Linked DNA regions of Caenorhabditis elegans. The protein of the gene in region 2 interacts with the protein of the main gene of each other region in a pairwise test. Each region holds a gene or a part of one and is shown on either strand. Other genes may lie near its edges.

Region 1 (4,062 bases), about 10 Mb from region 2:
CATTTCAGCACAATTTTCAAATGTAAGAAATTCAAAAACTCACAATATCGGTAAGCAAGCAGTGAAGCCAGAATGGCTACGGTAATTAAAATTTTACGAGCTTTCATTAGTGGGAATTTAGCAATCAGATTTGAAACCGAAAACTCATGGATTCAAACAATTCAACAATGAAAAAGGAAACAAATTCACGTGTAAAGAGAGTGGGAGAGTGAGAGAGATGCAGAGAAAGTGCAAATACGAAAGGGGCAATGATAAAGAAGAGAGCAACTGATAAGAAAGTATTTTTCTCTAACTATCTATTTTTCTAACCTGAAGTCCAATTTGGTTCCTACAGTGCGCCCAACTGCTATGGGACACCCCCTAATTTCTGTGGTTTTAGGCATTTCTGAATTTTTTGCGGATTAATAATACTAGAGTTGGGTTCATCATACTAAAAAAGTCTGTAACTGCACTTTTATCATGATACCTCAAATATTAAGGTTCGTTCAAAATAAAATAGATAATTTCAAATGTTTGGTCGTTAGCAGATTTATTATCACGTATTTAAGTTGAGCAAAAAAACATTTTCAGAGAGAAAAAAATTGTTCATCATCTTCCGAGTCTTCCTGCGTTACATCAAGCTCTAGTTCTTCCTCTTCTTTGCCATTGGAGTCATCATCCAATTCTTCATCTCTCCCAATTATATCAAAAGAATCTTCATCGGATTCTTCAATTATTTTGTCTTCCACTAACTTTTCCGCTTCATCACTCATTCTGGGCTCATTCTCGGACTCTTCTAAGTCTTCATGCTCATCTCTGAATTTTTGATAGATAACTAGGTCCTTAACTGGAGCTTCTTTTGAGCTCAGCGATTCTCGAGCTTCCGATTTTTTGAAAGTTTCTGAGAGCCTTGGCTCAATTGAGGACTCTCCTTCCTGATCTTCATCGTCCAAGTCCTCGTCAGAACTATCTTCTTCTTCACCTTCCACGTAAGACTCGTCGTCATCATCCTCCTCTTCATCACCTCTGATCTCCAACTCCCCAAATTTAATGAGATCCTTGTTGGTCCCTTCTGAACTCTCCTTCCGACCTGAGATCCCACTCGAGCTGAACATCTGCTTCAGCTTTTCCGCCGTCTCGTTCAACAGTGCACAGGCACCAGTCGAAATATCGTCGACAGTCAAGTTTTCATTTTGAAGGAAACTGTTCATATTCCCTAGGCATTCTTCGAGAACTCTCAAGAGCTGAGATCTTTCGTGGAAATCCTTGTGTCTTACAACTTCATCGACCAGTTGGTCAAAATTTTCAATACAATTGTTTAAGGCTTCTGAGAGATTCGGATTCGGTGAGTCTTGCCCAAGTTCAGAATCGGAGGTTTCACTTTCATAATCTGTTTCGTCTTCAGAATCGGTTTCCGGCTCATTATTCTCAGCAATCTGAAAAAAAACATTGTCTTGTTAAATTTAAACACAAAAATAAAAGTCGGAAGTTTAAGACGGAACCCACATTCGAGACCGCAGGCTACTACTAATTCGGCATATGCCTTTTTTACGTGGTTTCAGGCTGTCACGTGGTGTCAGAGTGTCTCATTTCGGCTTGATCTACCCAGATCTACAAAAATGCGGGAGAAAAGACGCAGAGTTCTCAACTGATATAGCTTGGTTAGGAATGCGCTGACGTCACATTTTTGGACAAAAAATTCCAGCATTTTTGTAGATCAAACCGTAATGGTACAGTCCAGCACTACGTGGGCTGTCGCATCGCTCCACTTCACACGAAAGGCGGGAAAATATTATTTGAAAATTTGTGACGTCACAGCGTATTTCGAATAAAAGCGTCGATTTGTGTGAAATTTGTATATAAATAATATCTACCATTCATATAAATGGTAGATCAAAGCTGTTATAAGCTTAAAATTTAGCAAAAATTTGCACAAAAATTGCACAAACTCACGTTTTCTCCATACATTCGATTCCATCTCATGCACTCCGAGCATCCCAAATGTGCAACAAAAAGCGGCTCACGTTCATTGGACTCATCAAAAACGAAGGGACGAATGATATTGTTACTATCAATCACAATTGTAATCTTCTTTTGAGTTTCATTACAGTATTTTGTGAAGAATCGTGGACTAGATGGGGCAATGGGTCTAAAAATTACAATTTTATAAAGAATTTGGGGAAAAAACGGGTTTAAAACTCACTTGAAATAGTCTTCGTATCCCAGAGATTTGAAGAAAGATTGGAGAAACGAGAGCATTGTTGAATAAAAGAATAACCGACTTCACTGGGTAAGAGCTAATTAACTAAAGAACTAAATAACCATCTTTTTTAGGCATCTGGAAAAAAACGTATTACAGTCTAGGTCTCTCGTTACCCAGTGCTATTTCGACGCGCCTGTTGATCAAGTGTAGTTTGCGCGTCTGAAAAATCTTGTACAGGCGATCTAGGAAAAAGGAGGTCATCTGGGACCCATGTAGTGCAATATGACGTCACTTGGGTTTCTGGGAAGAAGGGTTAAAGGGAACAATATAATTGAGAAGAGAACGTATGTATGTATTAAGGAAACACAAAATGCTGAGAATGCGTATTGCACAACATATTTGACGCTCAAAATATCTCGTAGCGAAAACTACAGTAATTGATTACTGTTGTGCTCGTGTCGATTTACGGGCTTGATCGATACAGTAGTCATTTAACGAGTTACTGTAGTTTTCGCTACGAGATATTTTGCGCTTCAAATATGTTGTGCAATACGCATTTTCAGAATTTGCTGTTCCCCTAACAACTCATGTAAATATTGAATTATAGCTTTTGCAGATTTGAGAGACAAGTTTGGAAAAATGCTTGGCTCACCGTAAATTACTGTAACTTTGAAACCGTTGAAGGTTCAACAATGTGTCATATTAATACAATTTAGCTGTAATACATAATTTTTAGTAAAATTCCAGATTTTTTAAGTTATCACCGCTCAAAGTTACAAAAAAAAGTCATTTTTTCAAGTTTTTTCTCGGAGTTTTTCATCACACCTACAAGCATTATAGGTACCTTCATATACCCAAAAACCTCCTGATCCATCAATTCATTAAGACCCCAAAAACCCCCCGAAACTCTGCCATATTATTGTGTACTCAATCTTTAATGTGCTCATTTTGCTCATTTATAATGTTCCGTGAAGCGCCTAATGCACCGCTGTGACCATTCATTATTAGCTTTGCTATGTTATTACTCAATCCCCTCCCTACTTTTAGGTTGAAAATATTTGGTTTTTTAAAAGTTATTTTCAGGACTAAAAGGTGGAAAAAGAAGAAGTTAGGATAGTAGAGTTAAACTAACAATTAGCGATTTCCGTTCTCGCGAGGCATGAAGACATATAGGGGCAGCAGTCGTTTAGTATTTGGGCTCAATTTTCTAGAATGCACGCATTTCTCTTATTTTTGTCTCTGCAAAAAACATCGTCTAGCAGCGAGTGGTTTCGATCCACCGACCTCTGGGTTATGGGCCCAGCACGCTTCCACTGCGCCACGCTGCTGCAATTTTCCACCTGTCTTGAGGGTCATCATGTATTCTAGTAGAATGACGTCAGAGATCAAGAGGAGATGTAACCAAAAAAGGGTGGCAGGTGGTCTAGTGGCCTCTGTTTCTCTGTGGAACAAATCCTAATATCAAATTTTTTTTTCAAACCAAAGTTCCGTAATGTGTGTCCGAGACATAAAGGAAAAGACTCCTAGTTTAGGGGGTGGGAGGAGTGCAAATTACATTCCATTTTGCCTTTCTTTCACTCTAGTATTCCAAAATCCCGCCGTCCTTTCCCTTTTCCTAGTAGCAACAGCTATTGTTATTTCTGGTGTTGGCTGCTGTTGCATATTGGTTATTATTAGGCCTGGCAAAACTTTTTGCACACAGAGGCTGCTCCTCACGGGGTGGAAATTAGTATGGTTTATCCGTTTACTTCAAACGGCATAACTTCAAATGATGTTTAGGTAAAATTGTTCTAAACTTATTTTCTGAAAGGGTAATATGTAAAGTTGTTTTTGGTATATTGTTAGTAAATTAATCATACATATATTTTGGGATATATGTA
Region 2 (3,718 bases):
CAACCCGGCAAATTGCCGAAAATGACAATTTCCGGCAAATCGGCAAACTGGCAATTTGCCGACTTTCCGAATTTGTGGACAAAAAAAATTGCCGAACGGGAATTGCCGGCCCCTGGTGTACTCTACGTTCAAAACAAATTTGTAATTTTTGTTAACATAAAATTTGAAATAAAAATCTTTATGCTTCGTTTTTATGGCGGCCGAGATTTTTATTCTATACGGGTTTTGTTGCAAAATATTGATTTTTATGACTTCGATTTTCATTTAATATTGATTTTTGTCGAAATATCGATTTCCCAAAATATCGATTTTTTAAAAAGCAACTTTTGTAATATATCGATTTTCGGCGCTTTTTAATTGAACATACGGTATTACTAGGGCTTCCATTCCTGCGCCGGCGAGGCGCCTTCGCCGACCAGCGAGACGCCTCAGTCATGTATAGTGCGGCGCGGAACCCCGAACGTGTCGGACGCTTCCAAATAACAGCGGCGATGGCCGGCCGGCGCGAGACGCACCGCCGCTCACCCATGGAAGCCCAAAGTCTTACAAAATATCTACACTGCTTTATTCACAAATTCATAGAAAACCGCGTTCAATTTCTCATCGGTTGCTGTCGTTTGCTGTTGCGCTCTATTGAACACTTCCATATCTCTCAACAATTCCATTTTGGCACGCTCCTCGTCGGCTTTTGTGAAATGGCGCTTCCGACGGAACAAGAGAATGTGCTTCTCCGGGTTATGAACCATGTAGTGCTCCCATCCAAGTGACTGAAAAGTATGAAAAATCAATAATTCGGCCACATTCAGAAATTTAATATTGATTTTTTTTCGTCGATTTTATGACTATCGGTTTTCTTGAAATATCGATTCTATCAACATATTAATGTTTATTTAAAACAAATTTTCATTAAAGGCAAATTGCCGGAATTGAAAATTTCGGGCAAATCGGTAAGCCGGCCAATTGCCGGAATTGAAAATTTCTGGCAAATCGGCAAACCGACACATAGCCGGAATTGAAAATTTCTGGCAAATCAAAAAACCGGCAAATTGCCGAAGTTTAAAATTTCTGGAAATCGGCAAATCGGCAAACTGCCGGAATTGAAAATTTCTGGCAAATTGCCGGAATTGAAAATTTCTGGCAAGTCGGCTAACCGGCAAATTGCCGGAATTGAAAGTTCCTGGCAAATCGGCAAATCGGCACATAGCCGGAATTGAAAATGTCTGGCAAATCGGCAAACCGGCACATAGCCGGAATTGAAAATGTCTGGCAAATCGGCAAACCGGCACATAGCCGGAATTGAAAATGTCTGGCAAATCGGCAAACCGGCACATAGCCGGAATTGAAAATTTCTGGAAAATCGGCAAACCGGCAATTTGCCGAACATGAGAATTTCCGGCAAATCAGCAAACCGGCAATTAAATTATCGGGCCGGCGTAAGGCCCACATTTCGCACCTCACTCGGCTGGGAGCCTTGCTTAATTTAATAAAAAATATTTTAAAATATTGGCTTTTTCAAAATATCAATTTTGTGAATTATCGATTTTTGGAAAAATCTATTTTTTTTAATTATCGATTTTTTTCCTAAAATCTTAACATATCACTTAATTGAAAATATACCTGTTGAACTCCAGCACGTCTCCATTCAGCCTCACTAAGAAGTCTTCCCTTTGGCACTTTTCTCGAGACGGCTTGCGGAAGAATGACGTGGCGATATTCGTATTCATCATCTTCGTAACGTGGCGAATAGTAGATATCTTCCATTTTTCAAAAACTCTTATTCTTCGATGTTAATTGTACGACAAGTAGGGAATGAATGATTGTTGAGGAGTTTTGGAAATGTTGTTGGAACAATTAGGAAGAGGGGGGGGGGCAAGGTTACGTGGACAATTCTTTTTTTTTAAATTCTGAAATGTTGTATTTATTTTACAAATCACGTGGAGTATTCCGAATATCGATGTAAAAAAAATTCAACAAAAAAATCCCTGATTTTATATTTGAGCTTGAAATCGCCGAATTTCATTTGTGCCCCCGCATAATTTTTTCAAATTCGCATTGGAGCGCGCTTGCATCGTTTTATTTACTTCATTTATTTTTCAGTTTTATGAAAGAAAAAAGAATCGCTTCATATGGTTTTTCAGTACTTTTGAATTTTTGAAAAAATAGATTTTAACTAAATTTTGCAATTTTTCAAAATAATCTTCCGGTCAAGCTAGCATACTCTTTTTGATACTTTCTGGTATTTCTGATCATGCTGAACAGTAATATAAAAGAAAAAAGAAGCACTTCATATGATTTTGGCGTACTTTTGAATTTTTGAAAAATACAGCTTTTGGTCAAATTGTGCAATTTTTTAAAATATGTTCCGGATTGACTAGCATACTTTTTTTTAGTATTTTCTGGTATTTCTGATCATGCTGAACAGTATTATAAAAGAAAAAAGAAGCACTTCATATGATTTTTCAGTACTTTTGAATTTTTGAAAAATACAACTTTTGCTTTTTTTTAACAATTGAAATCGATTGGCATTATCAAATTTTTATGAAAAATGTCAAAACTCGAAACTTTGGGGGATTCTATAGAAAATACACATTACCGAATCTAAAAGCTCCCCACACTTTCATCTTTCTTCTACGAATTTTGCAGATTTCTTGATTTTTTTCCCATCTTTCCAAATTTGATTTTCGATTCCCTGTGCTGACGTGTCGTCCCCCGCAACAATTCCCAATTCCCGTCCCTCCAATAATTCGATTATTCATAACGATCATACCGCCCATCTTGTCGCTTAAAAGGAGCCCACCATCCCGTCTTTTCCGCAGATAGTCGCCTCACAATATGTGGCTGACAAATTATTTTCTTCTCGTTTTTCTTCTCTTCAGAACTATTCATGGACTCGCCGATGGATCCGAGACCACTGTCAAGGAGTTTTTGAGCAAAGTGTCAGATGAAATTGCTACTAGAGATGCTTCCCGGATTGCTACACTATTTTCCGATGGGTTCTCGTTTCAAGGATGCAAGGGAAAATATGACAAGGGTGAGTGTTTTAGGCAATTTCCTTAAGATGTTGAAAAATTGACGGGATTCTTGAATGATCTGTAAGCTCTCGCAAAGTTATAATTAAGTAGTTTCGGTGCTATTTTGAAACAATTTAACATCTCTGTTAGGGCTCCCATGAGGTCGCCGCAACGAGTCCCGCGCCGACCTCAGCGGTAGCCGCGCCGGCCTCACGGTGTCGGCGTCACTCACGCCGCATGTATCCGAATGTATAGTGCGGCACGGAACCCCGAACTTGTCGGCCGCCAACCACAGTTTCGAACTACGTTGTGCACTGCACACACCAAGCTACTCGTTTCACGCCAAGCTGCGGAACCCCGAACTTGTCGGCCGCTCCAAATAACTACCCTTCGCACTTCGTTGCATACACACATCGGTGCGCGGAGGTCGGCGTGAGGCCCGCATTTCGCGCCTCACTCTGCTGGGAGCCCTAACACGACCCGAGAAGGGGGGCCTGTACGTAATTTGTCTACCGTATACCTGGAAGTTTGGGCGGGTTTTTTTTCCTCAAAAACGGCTGGTCGAACATTTTTTGGTGCATGTAAAAAAATGTCCGATAATAAATTCTACATTTTTTGGACCAAAACTTTTTTTTAAAACTCGCCCAAACCTGGTTAAACTCAAATTATCAGTAGAGCGCATATGTATGGATGTACCACTAGCCTAA
Region 3 (5,086 bases), on a different chromosome or scaffold from region 2:
GTTATCAACCATGATCTTTCATTTGACAATAGTCACAAAATTTTTTGGCCGTCCGAAGTGCCCTAACTCGGAGCCAATGTTTTCAGGCATTTTTCAGATCTCGCTTCTTTTACGCTTTGATTTGAGGTTTGTGTGCGGATTTAGCTTTGTTTAGTACACAATGTAAGAAAACAAGAAAAGTTTAGAAAAAAATCCGTCCAAAAAAAAATTTTTTTGTCGGTCGTCAAAAAATGCTCAAAAAAGTTTTTGTCGAAAATTCTTGATTTTTTATACAAATATGATGTAACCATGTGCAAACTATTTATTTTGCACATGGTTACATCATTTTTGTATGAAAAATCAAGAATTTTGGACAAAAATTTTTTTGAACATTTTTTGACGACCGACAAAAAAAATTTTTTTTTTAACGGATTTTTTCCAAACTTTTCTTGTTTTCTTACATTGTGTACTAAACAAAGCTAAATCCGCACACGAACCTCAAATCAAAACGTAAAAGAAGCGAGATCTGAAAAATGCCTGAAAAATTTGGCTCCGAGTTAGGGCACTTCGGACGGCAAAAAAATTTTGTGACTATTGTCAAATGAAAGATCATGGTTGATAACATAAATTCCCACAGTTTCATAAAAATCGATACGCAGTGAACAAAGTTATGATTTTTGACCCGGAACTTATTTGGAGACCTAATAGTTTCAGTTACTATTTTTTGCCCAAGAACATGGCTTCGCCAGTTTTAATGTGTGTACCTTTAAAAAGTACAGTAACCCAGTTTTTTTCAAAAAGTATAAGAATAGGCTACCGTACTGCTTAAAGGTACACATATTGCTGTGAGACTGCAATTTTAAGTTATTTTGTGCGTGACGAGACCTTTTCTTGACTCAAACATTGCAATTACGTGAATTAGCTTACCTGTCTAAAAATCTCCATATCGAAAATCTTCAGTGAACACTTATTTGCAATTTTAACAACAGTTGTTGAGTGAAATCCATTGATATAATTACAATTACTAGATTGTACGAATATAGCTGAATCACTTTCACATTGAGCAAAGAGTGAGCCATTGCTACGTACGTAGGTTAGCTTGACACCTGGAATTACAAAAAGTTTGAAAATTTTCAATTTTTTAGTCATAGTCTTGCAAAAATTATGCGCCGAAGTACGGTACCCAATCTCCCGAAAATCAGGTTACTGTACTTCTTGAAGGCGCACGCGTGTTTTGCTCGGCCTTGATTTGAAAGTAATTCGTTCGTGGCGAGGCCGTGGGTGCTCTTACCGTTTCCAATATGTCTTCTTGTATTTTCAATAGTTGCATTTCGATTTACATTCGAAAACAGTCCCAGGCTAATTTTGCTTCCATTGATGCATGGATCAGTGAATCCATCGATAGTTATAGTTGTTGAAGACACTTTAACCTGTTCTCCGACTCTTGTATTCAATTCATAATAGCTAACAGTTGCCCAGAATTGTTCTTCCCAAACTTTATCGAATGGCACGAGACATGTTGGAACTCCTGGTGGAATGTCGAATTTCTGAGAAGTATCCATTTCCTCAATTCCATTTGGATTGTATTGATGAAATTGGTTGGCTCTAGAAAATTATTTATTAAATCCCTAATTAGAAAATATATTGATAATATTTCAACCTTTTTTTCTTTTCGTAACCTTTTCCCTCTCAAAGTTATTTTGGATCCAATTTTATTTACAACTTGCGACGATACTCCGGAATTCCACCGCATGCTGTTTATCGTAAATATTGCCTACTTTTCTTATCACTGAAATTTTACATCATTTTACCAATTTTTCTTCATTCTCTTTGAATTCTCAATTTTTCTAACTTAATCTTAACTTATATCATTTATCTATTTATTATTTTGTAGATATAATGGTCGAAACGACTGGAATCAGCGACCAAACGAAAAAAGTGCTGATCGGTGTGGCAGCTGCAGCGACAGTTGCAGGTGTAGGATACTTGGTATATAAGAGTTTTGGAGGTTCAGACGTGAGTTTCTAGTGTACAATGATATCAATTTCAAAACTAATTTCAGCTGGAAAGGGACTTGGAGGAAATAAAAGCATTGGGAAATTTGAAGTTTAAAGAGAAACAATACGATTCCGCACTAGAAGCATTCACAAAAGGAGTCGAAAAGGCCGGACCAAACTCTTCTGATCAAATTGTCGCAATGCTCTACCAAAATCGTGCAGCCTGTCGTGAAAAGGTTGGACACAGCCCTTTTGATATCCTCAACGACTGTATGGCTGCATTGAAAGTAGACAAAAAATACACCAAAGCATACTTGAGAGCAGCAAAAGCACTTAATGACGTCGGAAAGAAACAGGATGCTCTGGCGTGTGAGTTTCTGAAGATGTTACGAGAAAAGTATCAATTCCTGTTTTTAGATCTTCTTGCCGCGTTCACTTTGGATTCTAGCCTGAATAAGACGAATTTCGAATTCTTTGGAAAGCTTCTTGCTATAGAACCCGTAAGAGCCTAACAATTTCTTAAAGAAACTCAACTTTTTATTCTAGATGTCCGACTGTCACATTGGAAAACCACTCAAAATCGAAGATGTTAAGCCACAGCCAGTAGCTTTGTTCAGAATTCAGCAGTGGTGTGATACTTGGGATATTCTTGATCTTTTCAAAACAGATCTCACCAGATTCGAACCAGAAGTGCTCAGTGAAGACCAGAAGTAAGCTCTAATTCTAGATATACAGTAAAAATAATTATAAATTTCAGACAATACCAACTTGCACTGGAAAAGTTCAAAAAAGGAAAATACGAAGAACTGATTGATCTGCTTACTGAGGAAAACAGCTATCCTCCGGCAATGATCTTGCGTGGAAAAATGCTAAGCTACAGTACTGATCCTAACGAGGCAACGAGATATATCGATAAAGTTGGAGCAAAAATTAACGAACTGATTGGATCAGAAGAGGATGAGGAACGCAAAAAACTAATGAGAGATGCTTTCGATATTCTCAAGATTGAGCTAATGTATACTATGGCAGATTTGGATAAGTTAGTTTTTTTTCTTGATTTTCCAAAATATTTCCAGGTCTTGTCTAATTTTTTCTAATTTTCAGATTCCTGGAATCAGTTCCAAAAGACGATAAGGAAAGACTTTTCAAACTTTATTCGTTTGCATCTATTTTTGTGGTAATTCGATTAAATCATTTTTATTCTCTAAAAATATGGTTTCAGTATAATGGATGTGTTCTCGATACAGCAGTGACGAATCATGAGCAACAAATGATGGCGGATACAGTAAATTTAAATTCATAATTTTCTTATTTATAATTATTTAATTTTCCAGAACAATGCCAATAGACTTCTCACAGAAGCTGAAAAGAACGGAACTCTCACTCCACATCTTTCCATGATTGTTACATTCCTGAAGTTGTGTACCAGCGAAGACTACGCTGATGTTCATCGACGAATCCGAGAAATGGAAGAACTCGCAGAGAGTAGATCTACTCATTTCAATCTGGTTCTTATGTCCAAAGTATATATGATGACTAATAATGAGGAGAGCTCGAAGAAGTTGCTCGAAGAGGCTGCAAGGATTACTACGAGATATTTGGTGCCAAGTAGGCATTTGCAGACTGCGTAAGTTTAGATTTTAATTTTCTGAAATTCGCCGACTGGTACCAGTTGCCGAGATTTTATGAAAAAAAAAATAAAACAAAAAATCGAAAATTAAAAATTTTTTTTGACTTTTCGATTTTTTTCAAAAAAAAAAAAAAAAGAATCGAAGAATATACTCATAAAATTCGATTTTTGAAATAAATTTTGTTTCTGTTGTTGAAAAAAGAAGAAGTATAATTTTCTTTTAAAAGGAAGGAAAATGGCAAAAATTTAAGCTATCGGAAAGTTGAAAAATCAAAAAGTGCGAATTTTTTGTTCAATCACGTCATTAGGGACCAGCCTGCGAATTTTAAATTGAAATTCCCATCGGCTTCTAAGTTCTACGTTAAATACAATTAATTTTCCAGTGATCTCCACGTGCACAAACCAGAAGCTGAACGACTCAGATTGACAACTGAAAGTGCCAACGCAGCAATTGCAGTTGATCCATTCAATTTCTCGGCTCACGTTCTTCATCTTTTGGGAACTAACGGGCCAGAGCCGATGATCAAGAAGTAAGTAAAAAAGTTTCAGAGTTCCACTAAAAAATCCAAGTCCTTTCAGAGAAAATTACGAGCGAGCAATGGAATCAATTCGAAATGCAGCTCTATTTGCCCCACCACGAGAACTTCTCATGTTGAAGAGAATGATTCCATTGATGAATGCTAAGAAACGTGCAGCTGAAATGCTCGATATGTATTAATTTAAAGAATTTTTGAATAGTTGATAGGCTGCTTTGTTACCTGTTTTTCCCCTCATTTCCCCGTTTTTTTTTTAAGTTTTCGGGTTTCTCAAAATCAACCCATCCGTTTTCCAGTTCCGTTCCTTACCTACTGTGTTCGTTTTCTTATTTTATTCTTCGCTTTTTTGTTTTTTTGTTCCCGATAATCTCATAAATACCAGATATTTCAATTTTTCTTCAATCAGTAATACCATATATTTTTTAAACACTTACGTAAAATTAACGTTTGCCATATTGACATTCTGCGGCATTCTTGATCCGCTCATCTCCATCAACTGAAATTTCGCCAGAGTTGGGGGCACTTCTTGTGGTGGTTTCTCGGAATAACGAGGTACAAGAACTGGTGGAAGTACTCCAGTTGCATGAACTCTTTTGTAATGATATGGATTAATGCAAATATCCTTTTGCCCTGATTCGTAGCAGAATCGGCAATCTTCAATTGCTTTCAATTCATGATGTGATTGAAGATCTGGCCAACGATAGACACGGCAATATATCACATGAGGAAGTGCCTGAATTTTTAGTACATAGGATTTGGAATTGTTCCTAACATTTTTTCTCAGAGTGGATTATTTGAATTTTCTGTGAAAAATGATAATCTCCAGCTGTTCAAACAAGCATTTCACGAAGAAGCTTCATTTCAAAAAAAATTGAAAATCGAACAAAAGATCAGCTAACGTTTATAAATTTTTTAAACTTTTAAATTTCATAAATTTAATATGA
Region 4 (5,727 bases), on a different chromosome or scaffold from region 2:
TTCTGGTTCATGCGGATCTGAGCGAGTTCAATCTTCTCTTAACTCCTGATAATAAAGTTCACGTGATCGATGTGTCTCAAGCAATGGATCTATCTCATCCACGATCATTACAATTCCTCACTCGTGACATTCAAAATATTATCACATTCTTCACTCGTATCGGAACTCCAAATCTTCCAACCTACGTTCAACTATTCAATCTGATTACTGACCTCGATATGGTAGAAGATCATGATTTGCTCGTCCAAGTTGAACAATTTTCCGAAGAGAATAGATCCGTAGACTTACGTCATGATAAATCTCGGCCAGCTGATATGGAGCTCAAGAAATATAATGAAGAGAAGAAAGCGAATCGAGGCATTTCACCGGCGAGAGAGTATAATTAATCAAATTTAATTTAAATATTATATTTAAGTATCGTTTGTTGTTTTTCTTTTCTATTTTTTGCTCCTTTGGTTTGTTTACTTTAATGTATTGTTTAACGTGTTACTTCAGATTACATAGACAGAGGAGCACCTTCATTAAAATAATACAAGATTCAGATAGAGCAATATTCAATACCTTCCAGCAAACTTCGCTCGCAGAGCATCTTGTTTAGCTTCCGACTGATCTGCATTTGGTGGCATCCATGTTGAGTATTTCTCATCTCGATCCTCAACACCTGCACCGTAATCTTCTGATCCAGCGATCTTCTTTTCAATATCACGCCGTCGGACTCTTTGAACCTTTTTCTTAGCTTCTTCTTCCGCTTCAAGCTTTTGCTTTTTCGCGAGTTCTTCTTTTTCAGCTTCAAGCTCCTCTTCCCATTGTGCAACTCTCTTCTGAACTTTGCTGCCGAATGCTTCTTTCTGTGGAGTTTCTTCAGAAACTTCGTCTTTTACCGAGCTTGGTTCATCTACAGCCGGTAAAGAATTCTTTATTTCAGATGAATCCAATGATGCAGCAATTTCTTTCTCAACTTTTAATGGAGTCATCTTCTTCTCATGTTCAACTTCCACAGCTTTTGTTGAGGTTGGGGCTACTGTAGCTGGAAGAGTAGCTGAAGTCGACGGTCCTGGTCCTTGTGAAGGTGTTTGATCAATTTCTTTTCTTGCTCGAACACCCATCAACTTTTTAAGGAATGCTTGTCGATCATTGGCAGCAGTAGTTTCCAGTTGTTCCAATCCTTTTACTACAGCTGGCTTAGCAATTTTGACCAACTTTTCGAGTTTTTGAGATTCGTGTGTCGCTGCCATCAGTTTTTGACGCCATTTTGACTTTTCCATTTTGGTCTGAAAATGAATAATTATTGAAGATCAGAATATCACTTTAAACGTTTCCAAATCCTACCTTTGCATCGTCTCCCGCTCCGCCAGATTTCTCCAACTGCCGGATGTAATCATCTAGAACATCACCCCCTTGATCAATTGTTCTAGATTTCTTTGTTCCAGCTGACAATTCATCCAAATGTTTCTGACATTCGATTATTTCTTTCTTCGATTCTTCCAATTTTCTACATAAACTCTCATAGGTATCTGTTTCGGTTCTTTTATGCCCAAATCCTTCTTCAGCCCACTGCTTTCGTTTTTCACGTTGTTTTTCCAACTGTCCAGTTCTATCAAGATACAGATCGTCGTCTTCATCGTAATAATCATTGGCTTCAAGAGTTTTTCGTTGCATTCGGAGTTTGGTATTTGATTTCCGAAGAACATTATACGTATCGAGAATTCGGCATGCATCGAGAGCACATTGAATTTGAGCATCTTTTTTGGAAGTTGATACAGTTGCCGATGCAGTGAAGGCACGATCAACTCCGTCGATTTCAACAGGTAACCTGGAATAATGTATTTTTATAGAAGTTGAAAATTAATAATCTGGTTGATTCCTGAAACCTAAATATTTAGCAGACCATAAATGGGTCTGCTAAATATTCAGCAGACCATACATGGATCTGCTAAATATTTAGCAGACCATAAATGGGTCTGCTAAATATTTAGCAGACCATACATGGATCTGCTAAATATTCAGCATAGGGACTAGCGTGAATGGGGTTTTTCTTCAAAAAATCAAAAATTGTCTCAAATTCAGAAAAAAAAACTTTAAAAATCGAAAAGGAATGAAAAAACAATTTTAAAAACGTGATTATCACTGTTGGCTAAATTTTATGTTTGAATCATTATTTCGTGATTATTTTTTGTATTTCTGTTGTGGTATTTCTGAACTTGAGACAGTTTAGGATTTTTGAAGCGAAATTCTCTTCTCCCTCTCTCTCTCTCTCTCTACTCCGCCTTTAACTACCTAGTTTTTTGAGCTTGTGAAAATTTTAATTAATTTTTTTTTTAGTTCAAAACGATTTTTTCTTGAAAATAAATTTCAAAAACTCACTCAATAGAACAGACCCATTTGTGTGTATGACCTTGTCCCTGTTCACTGAATTCAAAATTCATATCAAATCCTTCCCGTTCAAAAAACTTCTGCAACGCCTTTTTTGGATCCTGATTATAATAAGCTTCTCGATCCTCCATCAAATGTGCATCAGTTTCAACAGTAGTCAATGGTTTCTCATCTTCTCCATAATCCATTCCCCATCCACATCCTTCTTCTTCTTTTTCACGTTTTTCATCGTCAATCATTTCTTGTGCTGCAGCGGCTCTCAATTTTGCTTCCAATTCTTTTTTGTGTTTTCTTAACTTCATTTCAGTTGGTGAACAATCCCATTCCGGCTCTGAATCCTCTTCAGGCCCAACAAAATTCAATATTCGAGTACTTTCTCCAAACTGAAAAATGAATCCAACTCTGGTTCTGATGTATTGTTTCGGTGGTAATCGTTTTTTATTCATACGGCTTCCATGGGTACTTCCCAATTCAAAAATATGCCATCCTTTTCCAGTTTTTGACATTTTATCATTTCCATATTGTAAAATACAGTGATATCTTGAAATTGATGGATGTTCCATTAAAAGATCACATCCTGGCTTGATTCTTCCGATAACTACGAACGTTGAATTCTTTCGATTTGACAAATCATACGAAGCAATTAATTTTCCTTCTTTCAGAATCTGAAAAAATTGTTTTTATTTTATTTTGTATCAACAGAAAAATTGAGAAAATTAGCATTAAAATTACGGTTTCTGGTCCTAACACTACAATTTTTGTTAAATGCGAGAATATGTGCGCCTTTAAAGAGTACTGTAATTTCAAATTTTCATTGCTGCTTAATTTTCACCGAATTTTCATAGTTTTTCTCTCGATTTGTCAAAATTGAAATGTAATATATTTGCATATTCAGGTTTTTTAATAAATTAATTTAATTCATATCGAAAAAAAAACTACAGTACTTTAAAGGAGCAGACGTTGTTACATTTAACAAAAAATTTTCGTGTCGAGACCGGGTACCGAATTTTTTGTGCAAAATTTCGCGTCTGGGTAATATGTACCTCAAACTGAAATTTATGAGCTGGATCCGGTTCACAAGCCCAAGGAGGCACTTCATAGTGTAGAGCTGGTGCTTGCACTGAAATTTTCGATTCTTTTTCAGCTTGAACTTCCGCAGTCTGAAAGAAAAATGATTATTTCAATATATATATAATCAATAAATATTTTTCAAACCTCAATTTCATCAATAACTCCTTCAACTGGACCGTCCATCTGTTCAGCGGGAGCTCGAATTTTTTCAGGCGACATTGGAGCCGGAGCATGATGAGATGGAGGTAAACTTGGTGATTTGAAGGCTCCGTCTGATTCAGACATTACGCTGAAATATTTATTATTTGATTTCTGAGCTAAAAATACGGTAGCCGGTCTCCGCACGAAAAAGGTTTGAGGAAAAAATGATGTGCACCATTATAGAATACTGTAATTTTAAATTAAAGGGATTTTCATCGTTTTTTTAAAATAAAAATAAGATTATTCATTAGCAAGCTCAAGAATAACATTAAAAACATGAATTATCGAAAAACGGGAGAAAAAAAACAAAAAAATATGAATCTGTAAATTACAGTACTCTTTAAAGGCGCACATCCGTTTTCATTTAACAAACATTTATCGTTTCGAGACTAGGTACCGTGTTTTTGGCACAGAAATCCCAATATTTTACATCTGGATAACTAAAAGATTCGGTTTGCGAAAGTTGTCCACGAGAAGTACATGGCCGTCAATGAAACTAGGCCGCAGCCCATACATTTTTCACTTTGAACACATAGCAATAGTTTGGAAATATTGATGAAAATTCATTCACAAAAGTTCCGGTGATAGTCATACTCAAGTTAATTGCAAATTAGTGAGTTGATGATGATGATAAAAATAATGATAAACGGTAAAAGAGCCTGGATAAGAGATCAATACACACGGGAAGCAATTATTTCAATTATTCGTCGGCAATAACATAGTTCGGATGAACACAGAGAGTTGGATCTTCTCCTTGCTCAACTTCAAGAAGAACGTGATCCTGGTGAATGAGACGATGAATTACACGCTCGCAAATAGTCTTTTGTACGTTGAAGTCTTCCTCCGTCTCCAAATCTGCTTCGATTGTCGACAAGTACCTAAAAACCAGAAATTTAAATTTAAATATTTGAATATTTAAACAAACCATTCAACAAGTGCACTCTGCTTGACACCATCATACTCGTCTTCTCCTTGATTGTCTTCATCGGATCGCATATGTAAAACGAGAACATCAGACAATTGCTTGTATTCCTTGAATGAGATTTTGAGCTTTGCTATATCAATCTTCGGAGCATTTTCCTTCTCTCCATCATGATCCATACTATCATCTCCTCTTTGATTCTCTTTGTCTGCTTCAACAACCATGATATTGTTGTCAAAGTCGTCATCATCCAAAGCAATGTCTGGTTGCTCAACTCTGACGATAGACTTGTTGAGAAGTTCGGCAGCCTTTTCGACATGTTCCACCAGTACTTCCTTTCCACAGTGAAGACGAGCAAGAGCCTCAGACAGACGAACGAGAGACTCCAATTGACGAACAGTGATTCTCCATGATGACGTGGCTGCATTGTTGCTGTCAGACATACGAAGTTTCTTGTACTCTCGAACAAGAGTTTCAGCAGCTTTATCCGAAATCTTCGGCTTGAAGCAACGAGCAAACGCGATATACTTCTTGATATCATCAATTTTGTAAACACTGTCACGTTCAGTATGCTCACTGATCGCACGATGATTATCAAGGATCCGACGGGCAATAGCGTAATCAGTAACTTCATTGCACTCATCGACCAACACAAAGAAAAGATCGAAACGTGACATAATCGGAGCTGACATCTGGACATTATACTTCAACGGACGACTTCTATCATAACGTCCATTAACTGGATTTGCAGCGGCAAGAATTGATGCACGGGCATTCAATGTTGCTTTGACTCCAGCTTTGGTGATGGAAATGGTTTGTTGTTCCATTGCCTCGTGAATGGCAACCTGATCCTTGAGGTCCATTTTGTCGAACTCATCAATACAACAAACTCCATTGTCGGCAAGCATGAGAGCTCCAGCTTCAATGACAAACTCGAACGATTCCTCGTCTTTTACAACAGCAGCAGTCAGACCAGCAGCTGAAGATGCTTTTCCAGAAGTGTAAATAGCTCTTGGACTGAACTCTTCCACAGCTTTCAGAACTTGCGACTTGGCAGTTGATGGATCTCCAACAAGACAAACGTTGATATCACCTCTCAGTGAAGTTCCTTCGTCCCTGCTCTTCTTCGCGACACCTCCAAGAAGCATCAGAAGAACTCC

Evidence for each region.
Region 1: the proteins of Y71G12B.27 (region 2) and F14B6.3 interact in a two-hybrid assay, tested with the Caenorhabditis elegans proteins (one large-scale study listed by BioGRID).
Region 3: the proteins of Y71G12B.27 (region 2) and tomm-70 interact in a two-hybrid assay, tested with the Caenorhabditis elegans proteins (one large-scale study listed by BioGRID).
Region 4: the proteins of Y71G12B.27 (region 2) and ZK632.2 interact in a two-hybrid assay, tested with the Caenorhabditis elegans proteins (one large-scale study listed by BioGRID).

What each region holds. Positions count from the first base shown.
Region 1 is NC_003279.8:12,228,757-12,232,818, reverse strand, and holds F14B6.3 (uncharacterized protein), read right to left. Parts: upstream 2,402-4,062; 5' UTR 2,239-2,401; coding exon 2,183-2,238; intron 2,129-2,182; coding exon 1,933-2,128; intron 1,416-1,932; coding exon 567-1,415; 3' UTR 516-566; downstream 1-515. Other genes in the region: F14B6.6 (Hexosyltransferase), read right to left, coding at 44-107.
Region 2 is NC_003279.8:1,796,885-1,800,602, forward strand, and holds Y71G12B.27 (Cyclin-dependent kinases regulatory subunit), read right to left. Parts: upstream 1,839-3,718; 5' UTR 1,762-1,838; coding exon 1,618-1,761; intron 768-1,617; coding exon 555-767; 3' UTR 551-554; downstream 1-550. Other genes in the region: Y71G12B.5 (Apolipophorin), read left to right, coding at 2,833-3,031.
Region 3 is NC_003281.10:8,751,538-8,756,623, reverse strand, and holds tomm-70 (Mitochondrial import receptor subunit tomm-70), read left to right. Parts: upstream 1-1,873; 5' UTR 1,874-1,878; coding exon 1,879-1,995; intron 1,996-2,041; coding exon 2,042-2,345; intron 2,346-2,393; coding exon 2,394-2,476; intron 2,477-2,522; coding exon 2,523-2,686; intron 2,687-2,733; coding exon 2,734-3,015; intron 3,016-3,080; coding exon 3,081-3,153; intron 3,154-3,198; coding exon 3,199-3,261; intron 3,262-3,310; coding exon 3,311-3,603; intron 3,604-3,989; coding exon 3,990-4,136; intron 4,137-4,185; coding exon 4,186-4,324; 3' UTR 4,325-4,529; downstream 4,530-5,086. Other genes in the region: Dwarfin sma-2, read right to left, coding at 907-1,085, 1,271-1,584, 4,577-4,875. UniProt on the Caenorhabditis elegans protein: Receptor that accelerates the import of all mitochondrial precursor proteins.
Region 4 is NC_003281.10:9,797,113-9,802,839, reverse strand, and holds ZK632.2 (uncharacterized protein), read right to left. Parts: upstream 3,734-5,727; 5' UTR 3,730-3,733; coding exon 3,589-3,729; intron 3,534-3,588; coding exon 3,417-3,533; intron 3,039-3,416; coding exon 2,365-3,038; intron 1,814-2,364; coding exon 1,330-1,813; intron 1,272-1,329; coding exon 555-1,271; 3' UTR 507-554; downstream 1-506. Other genes in the region: riok-3 (Serine/threonine-protein kinase RIO3), read left to right, coding at 1-386; DNA replication licensing factor mcm-6, read right to left, coding at 4,346-4,523, 4,571-5,727.